Linked DNA regions of Arabidopsis thaliana. The protein of the gene in region 1 interacts with the protein of each later gene in a pairwise test. Each region holds a gene or a part of one and is shown on either strand. Other genes may lie near its edges.

Evidence for each region.
Region 2: the proteins of WOX4 (region 1) and TCP14 interact in binary tests that used the Arabidopsis thaliana proteins (3 or more experiments, as listed by UniProt).
Region 3: the proteins of WOX4 (region 1) and FRS3 interact in binary tests that used the Arabidopsis thaliana proteins (3 or more experiments, as listed by UniProt).

The regions. Positions count from the first base shown.
Region 1 is NC_003070.9:17,235,974-17,240,003, forward strand, and holds WOX4 (WUSCHEL related homeobox 4), read right to left. Parts: upstream 2,213-4,030; 5' UTR 1,981-2,212; coding exon 1,738-1,980; intron 1,519-1,737; coding exon 1,201-1,518; coding exon of another isoform or gene 1,189-1,200; exon of another isoform or gene 1,125-1,188; coding exon 930-1,124; 3' UTR 551-929; downstream 1-550. UniProt on the Arabidopsis thaliana protein: Promotes differentiation and/or maintenance of the vascular procambium, the initial cells of the developing vasculature.
Region 2 is NC_003074.8:17,556,990-17,561,811, reverse strand, and holds TCP14 (TEOSINTE BRANCHED, cycloidea and PCF (TCP) 14), read right to left. Parts: upstream 3,020-4,822; 5' UTR 2,809-3,019; coding exon 1,339-2,808; 3' UTR 553-1,338; downstream 1-552. UniProt on the Arabidopsis thaliana protein: Transcription factor involved the regulation of plant development. Binds to the Up1 elements (5'-GGCCCAWW-3') in early light-induced proteins (ELIPs, e.g.
Region 3 is NC_003071.7:11,576,116-11,582,795, forward strand, and holds FRS3 (FAR1-related sequence 3), read right to left. Parts: upstream 4,703-6,680; 5' UTR 4,291-4,702; coding exon 2,137-4,290; intron 2,055-2,136; coding exon 1,965-2,054; intron 1,696-1,964; coding exon 1,546-1,695; intron 1,207-1,545; coding exon 1,090-1,206; intron 899-1,089; coding exon 854-898; 3' UTR 553-853; downstream 1-552. Other genes in the region: SE (C2H2 zinc-finger protein SERRATE (SE)), read left to right, coding at 1-89, 182-242; TIL2 (DNA polymerase epsilon catalytic subunit), read left to right, coding at 5,108-5,242, 5,342-5,407, 5,482-5,541, 5,614-5,709, 6,111-6,271, 6,377-6,465, 6,544-6,680.

The sequences.
Region 1 (4,030 bases):
GTGCGAAAATATAGAAGAGCTACATATATCTGCGTATGTATAGAAACAGCTAGCTAGCATGCAATGTAGCGGGAAAGCGAGTGCATGGACTTCAGTGAGTGTGTCTCATATAATGCCATTTCAACTTTTAACCTAAAAAGCAAAACTCTCTCTTTGTTTCAACCAAAATACAAAACAACCACTTGCGAGAGTCAATAAAGCATCAGACAAACAACTAACCACATACACACCACAGCTTACATATATTGATGTCTTTGTACACATTCCATTGGAAATATCAAATTCTTGAAAAGATTCTTCTTGTTATCATCTCATAAACTTATTTAGTATATATTTATCAAAAATAAAAAATTAATATAAATATTATTGAGTCACCTGTTTTACTAAGAGTTTTAATATAAGTATATAACAGTACAAAAAGTTTTAGATTTCAATGTTTGTTTATATAGAAATATACTAGGTCTACCCCCTTTTCAACGGGAAATGCTATTATTATTTCCTTTTAACTTCTTGCTCTTGTACGTACGTAGGAATTAAGACAGAGATATTATTTTAACAACATCAAATGTGTCTTTATTCAGAAATTTCTCTAAATGAAACATTCCTACATACCAACGATCTAGAGAAATACTTAGATGGCCAAATCAGAAGAGAGTACAACTGATCACTAGTGAATTTGTCAAGAATAAACGCGAAAAAAAGATGAGCTAAACTGAGCATTCATAATTAAGATTACATCGCAAAAATAATCTACATAGGATACATCAAACTCGCAGATTAATAAGGGAATTCTTAAGTAGATTTTGTAGTTTTAGAGACTTATTCCTATTTTTATTTTTATTTTGAATTTCTAGATACCAATTGATTCCTCTGAACCTAAACCAGATCTACATAAGAATTCCACAATTTTCTGCCTCACCTTCATGACTTCATCTCCCTTCAGGATGGAGAGGAAAAAGCTCGAGGGTTACATTGTCAATGATTTTATTAAAAGTAGTTGCCATAGTACTACTATTTTTGTTTCTCCTGTTCTCTATCTCCAAGTTCTCAAATCCCCAGCTCCTACATGTCCTCTTGTACTCATTCTCTTCCACTAACTCCTCCTTCTCCACCATTGGTTCTCTCTACACAATCATAAAAATTATCCTTAAATATAGTTGATCAAAACCACAAAACTATACAAAATCCTTAAATTCCTACCATAATGTCTAGTGACGATGATGTTCTTGTCTTCATAGTTACACTCGGATTAAAGACACCAGTGGTCGTGAAGCTGCTTTGGCAACTTAGGCTGATGAGGTTGTTCCTCTTCTGCTTCTGTCTCTCGCGGGCTTTGTGGTTCTGGAACCAATAGAACACATTTTTCCCTTCGATTTTCCCGTACTTACCGAGTTGCAATGTGATATGCTCAATCTGTTGAGCATTAGGAGTACGCATTCCACCTTTGTACAACATCTCAAGTATCCCTATCTGTTCTTGAGTCGGGTTCCACCTTGTCCCTCCCGGGTGCGTCTCCAACTGAACCCACACATTATTTCATTACATTTGTTAGGAATCATACATTAAAATAAATAAATAAAATTAATAATAAAAGGAACCACTCCAGTCGTTATAATTTATAAATGTCAAAGTATTAGGTATGCCGCAATTATCAAAATTCTTCTAGAGTGAATTCTTCTTCTTTTTTCAAACGAAAGAAACGATGTAAAATGTACGAAGTACAATAATGGAACTGACTTGATGAGGAGGGTCTCGTTTGTGTTCAAATTTTGTCGGACCGGTTTGATCGGGTCTAATGAAGTTTTTAAGGTCAAAAGTGGCTGAAGTGACGCCGGAGGAAGAAGAAGGAGGGGAGGGAGGGCTGCCGGAGAGCTTAGGGGCGAGAGGACGGAGGCGTTTGCAGCTTAGGCTAAGGGATGATGTCGAGTCATGTTGATCCCACGATGAAGAAAACCCATTCGAAAACTCATGAACCTTCATTGCTATATGTTAAAACTAGCAAATGCTATGCATGCCTTTCTCGTTACAAGACTTAAGCTATGTATATATAGAGGAAGATAAGTGTGAAATGATAGTGTTAGTGTATAATGATATCATTGGTGATATCCAGTTGGGTAGGAAAAAGAAAAAGAATGGAAAATGAACAGATGATTTTTACAAAAGTGGGACGTCGGGAAACCAAAGACCAAATGATGGGATATGGTTGACTTTTATCATTTAAAATCTCCTTGTCCTTATTGTAAATATATACACTCAGAAATGTAAAAGCAATAGGTAAAGAACAAATTTGAAACTAATTGAAGACAGTGATCTTTGTTTGAGAAAGTGAAATCTCATTGTGTGAATATAGATATGCGTACGTGTGTCTCTACATACACGTAATACATGCGTACGTGTGATATCTGATATGTTCATGTCTGCATGGAGCACTACTTTAAATTCGGCATAGTAATGTATCAACCAAATTTTAGTTTCATGCTTACGCATGTCATGCGTGAATACCGCATAATTTATCTCTCTTATAAAATTTTCCTCTACTTGTAGTTGTAGTCTATAGTACTATGTCTTGAGATCCTATAATTTAGGCAGAATGTTGAGGGACATGAACCACGCTAAAAATAATATGTTATAGATACGTGATATCAAAAGACTTTACTATTCATTGAGATTGACATTGACCTACGAGCCAATAGGTTTGCTTTTACAGGAAAAAGGTTTGAATTTTTTTTTTTTGGGATCAAATTCTAACAAATGCATGTGATTTATTAGAAAAATCCCAAACCAAAGCTTGACAATCTTTCATTCTACTAGTTGTATAGGGACATAATTTCTCTCTCACCTTTCTTTATTTTAAGAAATTATTTTAGAAATAAAACACTGAAAAAAGTTAGCTTTAATGATAGGATGTCGAATGCTTTTCGGTGGCTCTCAAGTCTCAACTACTTTATTTAGAGAAAAGAAGAATGAGAAGAAGAATGAATAAGGGGAAAAGGTATCTTCCAATCCCAATACTCGAAATTGCTTTTATTACTTTTGTTAAGATACGGATTTTGCCTAAATTAGTGGTAGTTTATAATGAGCCAGGACAGACTTTTATGCGGAAAAGAAAAGGCTAGAAATATCTTAATGTTATATTATCATTGTTTATTTTGATAATAATACATCATTATAAATTTAAGCTTATATGTTTATTAGATATTGATACAAAAGCATGGTTTGGTTTGGCAATGTCAAGCGTCCCATTCACTTTAGATCAGTGTATTGTATTGTTATTCTCTTGTACATCGGGAACTGCAGAACCTCAATTTCCCAAGTAATTTGGGTATTTTACTAATGAAAAGTAGTAACGTATGATATTCCGGAATTACAAAGTTTTTTCTTCTAATTACTTTTGAGTTTTGACTAATATATCATCATCTTTTTATTTGATATGTAGTCTAGAATTACAAAGAACAGAGACCTTGAGTATGAACTGTGAAGAATAGTCAAAATTATTTAGTCTCGGCTAATCCAGTTATGATGCAAGTATATGTACAGTACGAAACTTACACTAATATATATGGATATCAAAGTTATGAAGGTGGAAAGTCACAGTTCATATCACTGGTTAAAACATAAAAATTGATATCATGGAGGAAATATAGAAGTACCAGTGTAGGTTGATCATGACTAATAGCTAAAATTAATAACATCTTTATCCTATGAAGATGGATTTTTTTATAGAAATTTCACATTTTTAAAAAATAATGTATACTGACAATTTTAACCTTTTAATATATTTTAAAAATAATAAAAAATATTTATCTACTTATTTACTTAGGATAAAACAGGTAAACAATTTTAAAATTTATATTAAAAATACAAAATTTGTATCTTTGTGGGACAATTTTTTTCCATAGAAAATTCATCTTTGTTGGACGGAAGGAATATGAAAGCTCAAAGTTCTAAAAAGACTGCTCTATCATTCATCAGATACTGGAAAATGAGTGGAACTTTACTGAACCCAAAGCATAACAAGAAACTGGTAATA
Region 2 (4,822 bases), on another chromosome or scaffold:
TCTCTTTCTCTACTTATTGAATTTGTATAATTTATACATTCAATGATATATTATATAGTCTGCATTCACATTTATTTTTATTTGTTTTCTGTCTTCATCCTTTTTGTAAAAACTTATATTTAACCCATGCGAAAACAGATTTTTAAAACTTCAGATTATTTATCTTGATTCTTGAATATATGACCGATCGATGTTGAGTGAATATTTTCTTTCACAACATAATAATAGATTTTATAAAGTAAATTATGTTCTAATTAAACACTATCAATTTACAAATTGTTAATATTACTTTCTAAAGGCATACAAACACAAAAAGAATATACTGAAACAATCAAATATTTTTGGTGTACTTCGTCAAAAAAAAAGAAACAAAATTTTGAGCCATAACTTTGTACGCGACATTCAAACTATATCACTTTCTAATTAATTCTCATAGTCTAAACTAGTCTTGATATAATATTATCATCATATACAAAACCAGTTTTAACAATATCATGATATAATAGTATTAGATATCTCATCATATACAAAATCAGATTGATTGTTTAGTGGGGACAAACGACAAAGAAACAGAGATAAAATGAATCATATACTAAAAAAAGCATTTAATATATTTCATAGCATATAAGATCAAACGAGATATTTTTATGTTTTTTGTATCGTTTTCGTTCGACCATGTAAAACAAACGAGACACTTTGCTGTTTTCTATTAGCTTTGAAACAACTACTTCAAGGGCCAAATATAACAGAGATTGGTGGGCCAATAGAGAGAGGCCCATCTCATTCCTTGATAAAATAGTTTCTCAATTTTTTTTGTATTAACACTTAAAAAAACGTAATGTTACTAAAAAAACAGTAAGATTATACTTTGATGTATATGTTACTATTATTACTATAGGAACCAACATTGTTTGACGAATACTTTTTAGAATTTTTCTTTATGTATAATTAATTTCTTAATGGATAAAGAAAACGAAGATGATTGAGAATCGAGACGACAGTGACACTATCAGAAGAAGAAAAAAAACAATTAAAAACAATAATGATAAAAAAAAGTGTCATATTCTCCTCAAAATCCAAAAAACCTGACATAAAAAATCTCGTGTACTATTTAATCACTCACTCACAAGAAAAATCAAATTTAAAATCAAGTAAAAAAATCAAAATTAAAAAGAAAATCTCACGTGTTTTTTTTTTTTTTTTTACTTAGCAAAAAAAATTACTACAGAAAATAAAAAAAATTAACGGTGAAAACAAAAGTTTTACACAGCCGCCGAACGCCGTCACCGCTACCGCCGTCGGCAGAAAATCCCACCGTTAAAATGTTTTTGTGTGTGTCTAATCTTGCTGATCCTCCTCATCACCACCTCCAAGTGATCCACTAGCTTGAGAGTCGCCGGAAACTTGCCGTCCGTACTGGTTCAAGCCGGAGAGAATATTATGATGATGTTGTTGTTGATGATGATGATGTCTCTGTGTATTATGATGATCACCACCACCGTCACTTCTTCCTCCTTCATTATTATTACTATCTTCATTAATCTCATGATTACTAGTTGTTGCTAGCTGTTGTTGTCCAGTAAGAAATGCCATTGGCGCTGCGAAATTCATAAAATGTAAACCGCTAGAAACCGCGCCGCTTGGAACGCCCGAAACGCCACTTCTATATAACGCTGCCGCTGCCGTGTTAATGGAAGGAAACGTCCAAACAGGCTCTCCACCGCCGCCACCAGTACCAATAGAAGCTGTCATAAGACCACCTGTTTGGTTGTTATTACCACCACCACCACCTGCAGCCGCAGCCGCCGCAACCATCCAGAAATTTCCCGGTATTTGTTGCGCGGCGGCTGCGGTGGCTGTAGATCCACTGTTGCTAGATTGAAGTGTATATCCTCCGATTTGATCATGTTGGTGTTGTTGTTGTTGTTGATGCAAATCCGACGTCGTTTGGATTCTTCTTTTCTTCTCCGAGTTTAACTCTTCAGAATCTTGATCTCCTTCTTGCTTTGTTGGATTATGAAAGTTCAAAAACGACGTCGTTGGTGTGAAGTTATCAATACCAGGAAACAAAGACGACGTAGGTGCACGTCCCTGTAGATGGGGATGATGAAACCCAACACCACCACCACGTTGTTGTTGTTGTTGTTGTTGAAGCATCGCCGGAGAAAATATGTTATTAGGGCTAAAAGTGGAAGCGGCGGAGCGGAAATGAGAAGGAAGAGACATGGAAGAGCCTGAAGAACGGAGAGAGATGTTTAAAGAAGTGAAATTCGCCGGGATTGTTCCGGTTCCGGTGGCGGCGATTACAGATGGTTCAGCTTGTTGAAGAAGCCACTCTATTGTCTCACCGTCGGATTTATGACCTAGCTCTCGCGTTAGCTGAAAAACCCTAGCTGCACATAACGCCGGCATCCTTATTCTCCTCCCTCTTCCGTCTACTTTCGTGTGTCGGTCTTTCGTCGACGCTCGTTTCAACGGTGGCTTTTTAGCTGCCACCACCGCAGATTCCTCTTGCGTTTGTAATAACTCTTTTTGCGTTGTCTGCGGTTGTGACTTTTGCGATTGCGATTGAGGTTGCGATTGAGATAATTGTTGGTGTTGATGGAGAGAAAATAGAGAGGAGGAGGAGGAAGGGGAAGGTTGTTGTTGATGGTTGTCGTCGGGGTCGTGTTTTCCGAGTAGTTGAAAAGGGAAAGTAGGGCGGTGGTGATGGTGGAGGTGACGGTGGTGATCATCTCCTCCTCCTCCTCCGACGCTGTCTCCACCGTCCATTATGACATTTAAGATACTTGATGTTGGCTTTTGCATATATAAGTGGGGAGCTATAACTATTTTATATATATTTTATAAATTAGGGTTTTTGGTTTTTTATTTATATGTGATGTTTTCGACAAGAGGGGAAAAAAAATAAAGTGTATAAGTCTGAAGGAATTGATTGAGAAAGAGAGGATAAGAAAGAGAGAGACAATGGAGAAGAAAAGCTTAAAGAAACAAAGATCATGAGTGAGAATTATATGGGTGAGCTTTACATAACATTAAAAAATTAAAAGAAAAATCTCATTACATATCTTTTTTTTTTCAAATGAAAATACTGTTCATTGCTTCTTTATGAAAATTACTTAAAATCATATACTTAGAGAAATGTCAACAATGGGAATATCATTTAATAGTTGAAGAAAAGAAAGTGTCATTTAATCAACGCAAAAATGAATTGATGTAATTAGCCAATGTGAATATTTCAACGTTAATTTCTGCTCAATCAAAATCAGTCTGTTATAGTTAACTTAATCCGAATTATATCAAATTATTTTTCACGTTAATTATTTTCTCAGATAAGCATTTAGTCAACTTTTTAAAACAGTAAAAAAAAAAAAAGGTTTAAACAAAATAAATCTGTCCATAATCAAAAGATTTCGGTATATCTTTCATTATATTCTTTTCTCGATGTAGATTTACTCATCAATCAAATGAAAAAAAAAACACCCACCGTAAAAAAGGGCTACAATATTCACCGTACAACGAAAATACTTTTCACGACTAGTTAAAAATGGAAAAATCTGAACGTTGCGTTAATAAATGAGATGAAAAAATGTACAATGTGGAGTCTTTAATATATAGTAAATGTAAGAAAAATATGTCATATATGTGAAGGGGATATGGTTGGAGAGAGTCGTTGTGGCAGCAGAGTCCACGTGAGGTGTCCTCTTTTATCATTCATTCCATAAAGACAATGGAGAGGTCGACGAGAGAGTGATGGGGCCAACACTCCTCTCCAAATTAAACAACTCAATTTGGTCAAAAATTTAGTAATTTATTTCAAAACGTTTTGGGTCCTACATCATTCACGTAATCATTCTTCCCCTGCTACTTTTGCCGGAAACTAGAAACATTATCATTGTTATTCACAATTTTAAACCCAAGCATTATTCGTTTTTATTTAATCAGATAGCAAATCTCTATACAAAAAAAGTGAAGAACTATGGTATGTAACACCACTGCCCAAAAGTTGATTTATGTATGTTATCAAATAAATAGGGTTTTTCAAAAAAAAAAGAAAAAACTAAAAGTATGAATAAAATGAGACTTTTAGCATTTTAACCAACCTCTCTGTTTTTCTATTATAAATGTCTATTTTTGTTTTTTCAAAGTAAAAGAACTACTTATTAAGGCTTTGAAATATTGTAAACTAAACTCTATTAATAATACATATGGAAACTATGACTATTTTGATAAAAATAAAAATATATGATCATAGATGTCATATATATAAATATATATATATATGTTAATGAATGTATTTGATGAAGAATTTTTGTAAATAACATATGATATGTGATATGTGTTATTATTCGAAGAAATGATATAGTTTAATATTACGTACACATATTACAAACTGTTTCGACGTATTACATATTTGTTGTTTAAATAAGCACCATAAACGTATATTTAAAATAAAGAAGCAAAAGTTTCAACAACAATTAAGATTATAAAAAGAGCATAAAGAATCGAAAGTATGGTAGAGTAAATGTGGATGATGATGATAGCTTTGGGATTCCCTCTCTTGTTATAAAATATAAAACTTTGATAAATATGCATGATTATATATGATGATGGTACTTGCTTTCGTTTCGTCTATTGGGGTCTTAATTAAATGCTTAATTAGGATTTAATTAAAAATATCTGGCACTATAGCTAGGGCTCAACCTTGAATAATTACTTCTTTTAGTTTAATAACTTAAACCAATTCACTAATCAATTGGTTTTGTACTATAAATTAATTATTGTAGATTGCAGTCTACTCCCACCTAGGACGGAATCAAAT
Region 3 (6,680 bases), on another chromosome or scaffold:
AACCCTCCTTTTGAAGGTAGCGGGAGAGGTGGACCTGCCCCTTTTCTGTTGTCTCCGGCCTTTAGACAAGATCCTAGACGGCTGCGCAGGTAACGTAGTTCACTCTGTGCTATGAGTCCATTACCCTATGATCAAGAGTGCAGTGTCTCTAAGGTACTAATGTATGAGAAATTTGGTGCAGCTACCAAGACCTAGATGCTCCAGAGGAAGAAGTGACCGTTATTGATTACAGGAGCTTGTAGACAAGACAGGGCTAGAGAGATCCCGAGTTTACTGGTTCGGGTTGGGTTAAAGGGCATCAGTATTAGAAGGCAAAGCTAGCAGATTGTGGCATTTTCTTACCCTTTTGATGTATTATGTCTTGTTCCTCCCAATTTTCACTCACTAAAGCGTAAAATACGCACTCCATACATTTCCTTATTGTTTTTCAAAATTTTTCATGTGCTTTCTTACTAATTCTGTTCGACGATGATTACATAAATAGCATGAGAATTTCTTGTATTGAATAATGCGTTTTATCCACATTGTTTGTTATCAATACTTAAGTCTCCATGGCAGTCTTAAATCTCCATGGCCATTAAATATAATCTGCAGTCAAACGAATGACTATCCACAAGAATCCAGGTTTTTAGGGTTCAATGTAAATAAGAAGGATATATACACTTCAAAGCCTGGCTCAATGCCTACCAGATTCTACACACTTGCGTAGATGACGTGACACTTACACATGTTACAATTACACATAAGGCATTGTATCGTAAATCTAACAACACTAATCACAGACGAGCTCTAATGAGGTTAACAACCATTTTCCAAAGTTTTCTTTTCCAGAGGTTGTTTCTCTCTCTCAACATCATTTGCGTTGCTTCTTTGCTTGAGATTCTGTTTGTAGCTCTCCCTGCAAATGCAAGATACCGTTTAGATACTCTATAAGACAATACATAGACCAAGTAATAGTTCAGGAACAATTATAGGTCGATATGAACCTAATTGATTGCTGTTACTATTACTAATTCAACTATCATTGGCCTTGTAATTATTTAATAACTACTACTTGGAAAAAGAAAAAGAAAAAGGGAGTGTGCCTACAACGATTGAGAGCTGCTCACGGATATAGGCCATTGATCTCAACATGGCACCTAGTGTATCTCGGGACACCTGAAACTTGACCTCTGATTCTCCTGTTGTTGTCTCGGTATCTTGAAGCTGGAGTAAGGAAAACAAAAGAAGATTTTTTCACACTGTTGAAACCTTCTAGTTCAATTAAGAGTCCCTAATATGGAGTAAAACATTGATTTTGGTAATCAAACATGAAATTTCATATTCAAGTAGTGACGCTAGTATAAATAACTGCAAAACGTATGGCAAGTTAACATGAATGAGAGAATCAGCTTAAACAAGTCAAACAACACAGAAGTTTCACACACTAACGGTAGATGGAATCTATGTTAGAACAAACCAAAGACAATCAATAAATTAAAAGGAGTTTAGTCAAGTCAAGAAGACTACATGAGAAGCTACGAGCCTAGAGTCTAAAAGACATACCTTCAAATTGATGACAGCTACTCTATTGGCTGGAGATGAAAGTTGCTCGCTAATGTAAGCCATGGACCTTAACATGGGTTCAAGTGTGACGCTAGACAGCTGAAATTTGACATCCATGTCTGCTGAGGGAAACTTTCTGTAATCGTGCAACTGAAAACATCATGAAAAATAATCCTCAGTAAAGCGGTCAACTACTATTTTGCAGGAACGAGCAAGACTATTAATGGCAACAACTTTGATTTTCCTACACTATAGCCAGTAACTTTTCCGAAAAGGCGAATGTCAATTGTTCAAATCTTCAAGATCATTATTCTTACAAATCTAATCTCTTTTAGATAAAGCATCCCATCAGACCAACTTTCAGTAAAAGTTACTGCAAAACCCTACAGAAAAGATTTACTGGTTCATATAATGCACACCTTTAAATTGATAACTGCAACTCTACCACCCGGCATTGTATTTTTACTCTCCATCCCCCAAGTCAATGACTTAAGACAAGGAAGAGCCACCTGTAAGACAAAGTAAATCAAGTTACTGACCAACACCAATAGAATCAAAGAAATAAGTCTGTGAAAGGTTTCCTCTGGGTACCATATTCTCAGGAGCAGTATCATCTCGGTGAAGTGACACTGGTGCCATACGCGGCAGATTCAGATCAGAAACAGATTGAGCTCTGGCCCCACCATCGTTAAGGTTAAATCTGCGTATCATTTCATCCTGGCGCGGCCACAGCAAAGGGGTTGTGTCAGCAGCTGATAGAGAGGTCTTGTCACCACTACCAATTCCACCACCATGTGAGCTAGGAGGCGCAGCTCTACCTATCCTTTTCCTGACAACTGAAACCTTCTTTCCACCTTCTCTGAGTTGCCCTAAAGCAATATTATAAGCTTCAGCTGTAATTGCCCCTTCCTCAGCATACTTGATGGCTTCGCGACATAAATGATTATAGCGGTGTATCGAGCTATCATGCCCATTTTCACTGACATGCTCATCTAACTCTACCATGCTCTTGGCATTTCTTGTCCACCGTCTCAAAATATAATGTGGTGGCAAAGTGAGTATATTAGTGACAGTAAACACCGTCAAAACATGTCGGCAGAGTATGCCGGAGTGCTCAAACATTTGACAGCTGCAGTTTGCTCTCATTTCAGGGTAGCAAAACGTTACTATATAAGCTTTGTTGTCATTTTCAAAATTTGCAACCCTAAATGTGCTGGTAGTACCATCATCTTCAATTCTGTTTGCCGTGTGAGCGAATGTCTCTACCAACTCTTCCTGGAACTTTCCAAATATTTTCCTTGTAAAGAGATTTGCAGCCTGATTCTCCATGGGTGATGGCGTCTTCAAGACTGGAGGTGTGTTGACAGTGTCAAGATCTGCTTCAATCTCCATCTCGAACCAGCTCTCCATAGCCCTTTCGTACAGCCTAAAGAACATCGGAAGGGTTGTCTGCTGATTCACATATCCATCGAAAAAGGAACCCGAATAACCTTGGCTAGGAAACACTGCAGCAAAAAACGAATCCCGGAAATAAACAGGTACCCACTGAGCTCGAGCATTATATAAAGAATTAAGCCATTCATGTCTTCCTAAGTCATATTTGTCAATGACAGAACTCCAGGACGATTCAAACTCCTCAATCGTTTCAGTAAAGTTGATACAATTATATAGCTCCACCTGAAAACTAGGATACGCAAGACACACATGAGCCAGCTTTTCCTGACCTTCTCTTAGCACATCCCACTTATTAATACAGTGACGAGCACCTGGAAATACCTGACCAGCAGCAATCTGTATGGCTCTATCTTGATCAGTCACCAAAGAAACCGGCGGTTGATCTCTCATTGCTGTTAGAAAAGTCTTGAACAGCCAGATAAATGAAGTGTCTGACTCGTCCAAAATAAGTGCACAGCCAAATAAGATAGCCTGACCATGATGATTCACACCAGTAAATGGCGCAAAAGGAACACGAAACTGATTGCACCTGTACCTCGTATCTAAGGTAACCGTGTCACCAAAATGAGTATAAGCAACCCTAGATCTCGAATCAGCCCAAAACACATTTGACATCTGATTATCTTCATCAAGCTGAACCGCATAGAAAAAGCCAGGATTCTCTGCCTGCATCCTCTTAAAATACTCCAACAGATTATGTGCATCCCGTCCAATCGTTCTCTTCGTGTTTGTAGCCATAGACGCATTTCTAGCTCCTCTGCTATTAGCATCCATAGAAACATACATCATACCACTAGGCACATTAACCCCTTCTTGATAACTAGATTTCTCCGAGTTAGCAAAATGCCTACGAGGACGAAGACAATGAAGCATATTAGAACTTGCTAATCCATGAGTATGCTCTTTAACAAACTTTGTAACAACCCATTTCTCATGACCTTGCAACTCTATCCTAACCATTGCATCACAACTCTCAGAAAGCCTTCTCTTTGACCTTTTACTACTACTACTACACACAAATTCTCGAACACTAACAGACCCATCAGTTCTAGGAAGAAGCTTAGAAGTAAAACCAAGCTGCCTCGAGTACTCATCATAGAAAGATTTAGCTTCTTTTTCTGAATTAAACTCCATACCAACACATGGCTCTGCAATTCCAATCTCATCTTGCACCCCTAACGAGTTATCCATGTTGTTCTGTCCACTGCAATCACTAGGTTCAACATCTCCTTCATCTCCTATCTCATGATTCCCCATTGACACATTCTCTTCCACCAAATGAACATCCATAACCTTCACTTAGTAGAGAAGTTCTAATTTCACACAAATGTTTCTCATCTTCATAGTCTACAAAAAAGTACTATTAGTGTTTGGAGATCTTCTTCCGAACATATAAATATGAGGACTTTTTGCATCTCTCACTCTCCGATTGTTTGTTGAGAGAGAGAGAAACCCAGAAAGAGGAGAAAGCAAAAGAGAGAAAGAGGAGCTTACGTCAGTCAGTGATGCGAAGAACTCAGAACTCAGAAGAATCGAAAGTCGTGAAATTAGGGAGAAGGGCAACAACAATTGGGGAAAATTGAGAAGAAGCTATGGCAGCTATTTCGTTTTCAGATTCGACCGGAGGAAATTAAACTCCTGCTTCTTCTCAGTCGTTCGCGAGGAAGAAGAGATTCAAGCACGAAACCGACGTCGTTTCGTGCTTTTGTTGGTTTTTTTTTTTCAATTTAAATAGCGAGACCTCGTTTTAATCTAAACCCAACAACAGAAAGCCCTCATAAAAAGTGAGGCCTCATTTGAACCGAACCCAACAACCAGGAAAGCCCTTGATACAAGAGACAACGCGCGCGAAAGCATTTCATCTTCTTCATCTGTCTTTTTTAGTTGAGCCCTAATTCATTTTCGGATGACAACTTCATTTCCTTGTATTGTCGTCATAAGAATCTCAGGTTCTAGATGATTCTCTCTTCTCTTATTTGATCTGGTTCCATCTCTTCACCGTACCAGTGTCAATCACGAATCCCTTTGTTTTGAACCCTAATTTATTTAATACGCAACACAAGCAATCAATACAAGAGTCTCTTAGCATCATCGGCGTGGGCCAAATATGAGCGGAAGGAGATGTGATCGGAGGTTGAATGTGCAGAAAGTTTCAGCGGCAGATGAACTCGAAACTAAACTTGGATTTGGGCTTTTCTCCCAAGGGGAAACGCGGCTCGGGTGGCTACTCACGTTTGCATCAGTAAGTCACGTTTTGTGACTTCCCTAGTAGTTAGTTCTCTGAATACTGAAAACTTCTAAGTACACTCACTGATTGGTTATTATACTACGTTGTTGGCAGTCATCTTGGGAAGATGCCGATACTGGGAAAACCTTTAGTTGTGTGGACCTTTTCTTTGTCACTCAGGTCAGCTGTGGTCATTGCTACTATATTAGCTTCTTTCTTCGTATCAGTTGCTCAACCCTTTTTGTTTCTTTCAGGACGGCTCTTCTTTTAAGACTAAGTACAAGTTCCGCCCTTACTTGTATGCCGCCACCAAAGTATATATGTTCTCTCTGTACTCGAGTGTTTTCTTCCTATATGTCAACTAAACTGCAATGCCCTTTTTACAGGACAATATGGAACTGGAAGTTGAAGCCTACTTGAGACGCCGATATGAAAGACAAGTTGCTGATATTCAGATTGTTCACAAAGAAGATCTTTATCTTGTAAGTCACTAAAGCATAACTCCTTTTACGCAGTTTGCAACTACCTGTTGATTACTCGTTTCTTTCTCTCTATATAGAGGACTCATGTCAATTACATTTGCTACAACTTTTAGTTATTTTCCTCTTCTTGCAACTTCAAATTGAGCAGCTCTAGTAATAAGTCCAAAACTGATCTTGCTTCCATGTGCTCAAATCATCTATCTAGCCTGCCAAAAACGTTCTTGTAACTCAAAAAACGTTTGCTAGTAAATGTTTAAGTGTTTAATGCTTCTTCTTTAGTGGCAACATTATGCAAGATATGAACGTTTTCAGTACCTCTTGTTTGGTTGTCACTTTTGCTGACCTTTTCTTTGACCTACCATACCAATTTGAGTTTCTTGATTTCTTATGTTCATGAGCAGAAAAATCATCTATCTGGCCTGCAAAAAAAATATCTCAAAGTATCATTTGACACTGTGCAACAATTGGTGGAAGTAAAGAGGGATCTGTTGCATATTGTCGAACGAAACCTCGCAAAATTTAATGCACTTGAAGCTTACGAATCCATCTTGTCTGGAAAACGGTAAGGCAATGTATTTTTGTTCTTATAAATTTCCAGAGTTCTTACAAATTTATCCCTTAAAACTATGTTGTTCCTTAGTTATAATTTCCAAGTCTTGGAATGTAGAGAACAACGTCCTCAAGACTGCTTAGACTCTGTGGTGGACCTCCGCGAGTACGATGTTCCTTATCATGTCCGATTTGCAATTGATAATGGTAACCTATTTAGTCAAACTTTTAATCCTAGTTTAGCCCTCAAGGTTGTCAAAATCATGATGTGTTCTCGCTGTCCAGATGTGCGTAGTGGGCAATGGTACAATGTCAGTATTTCCAGCACTGATGTCATACTAGAGAAGAGGACGGATCTTCTCCAACGCGCAGAAGTTCGCGTTTGTGCATTCGATATAGAGACAGTAAAGCTTCCATTGAAG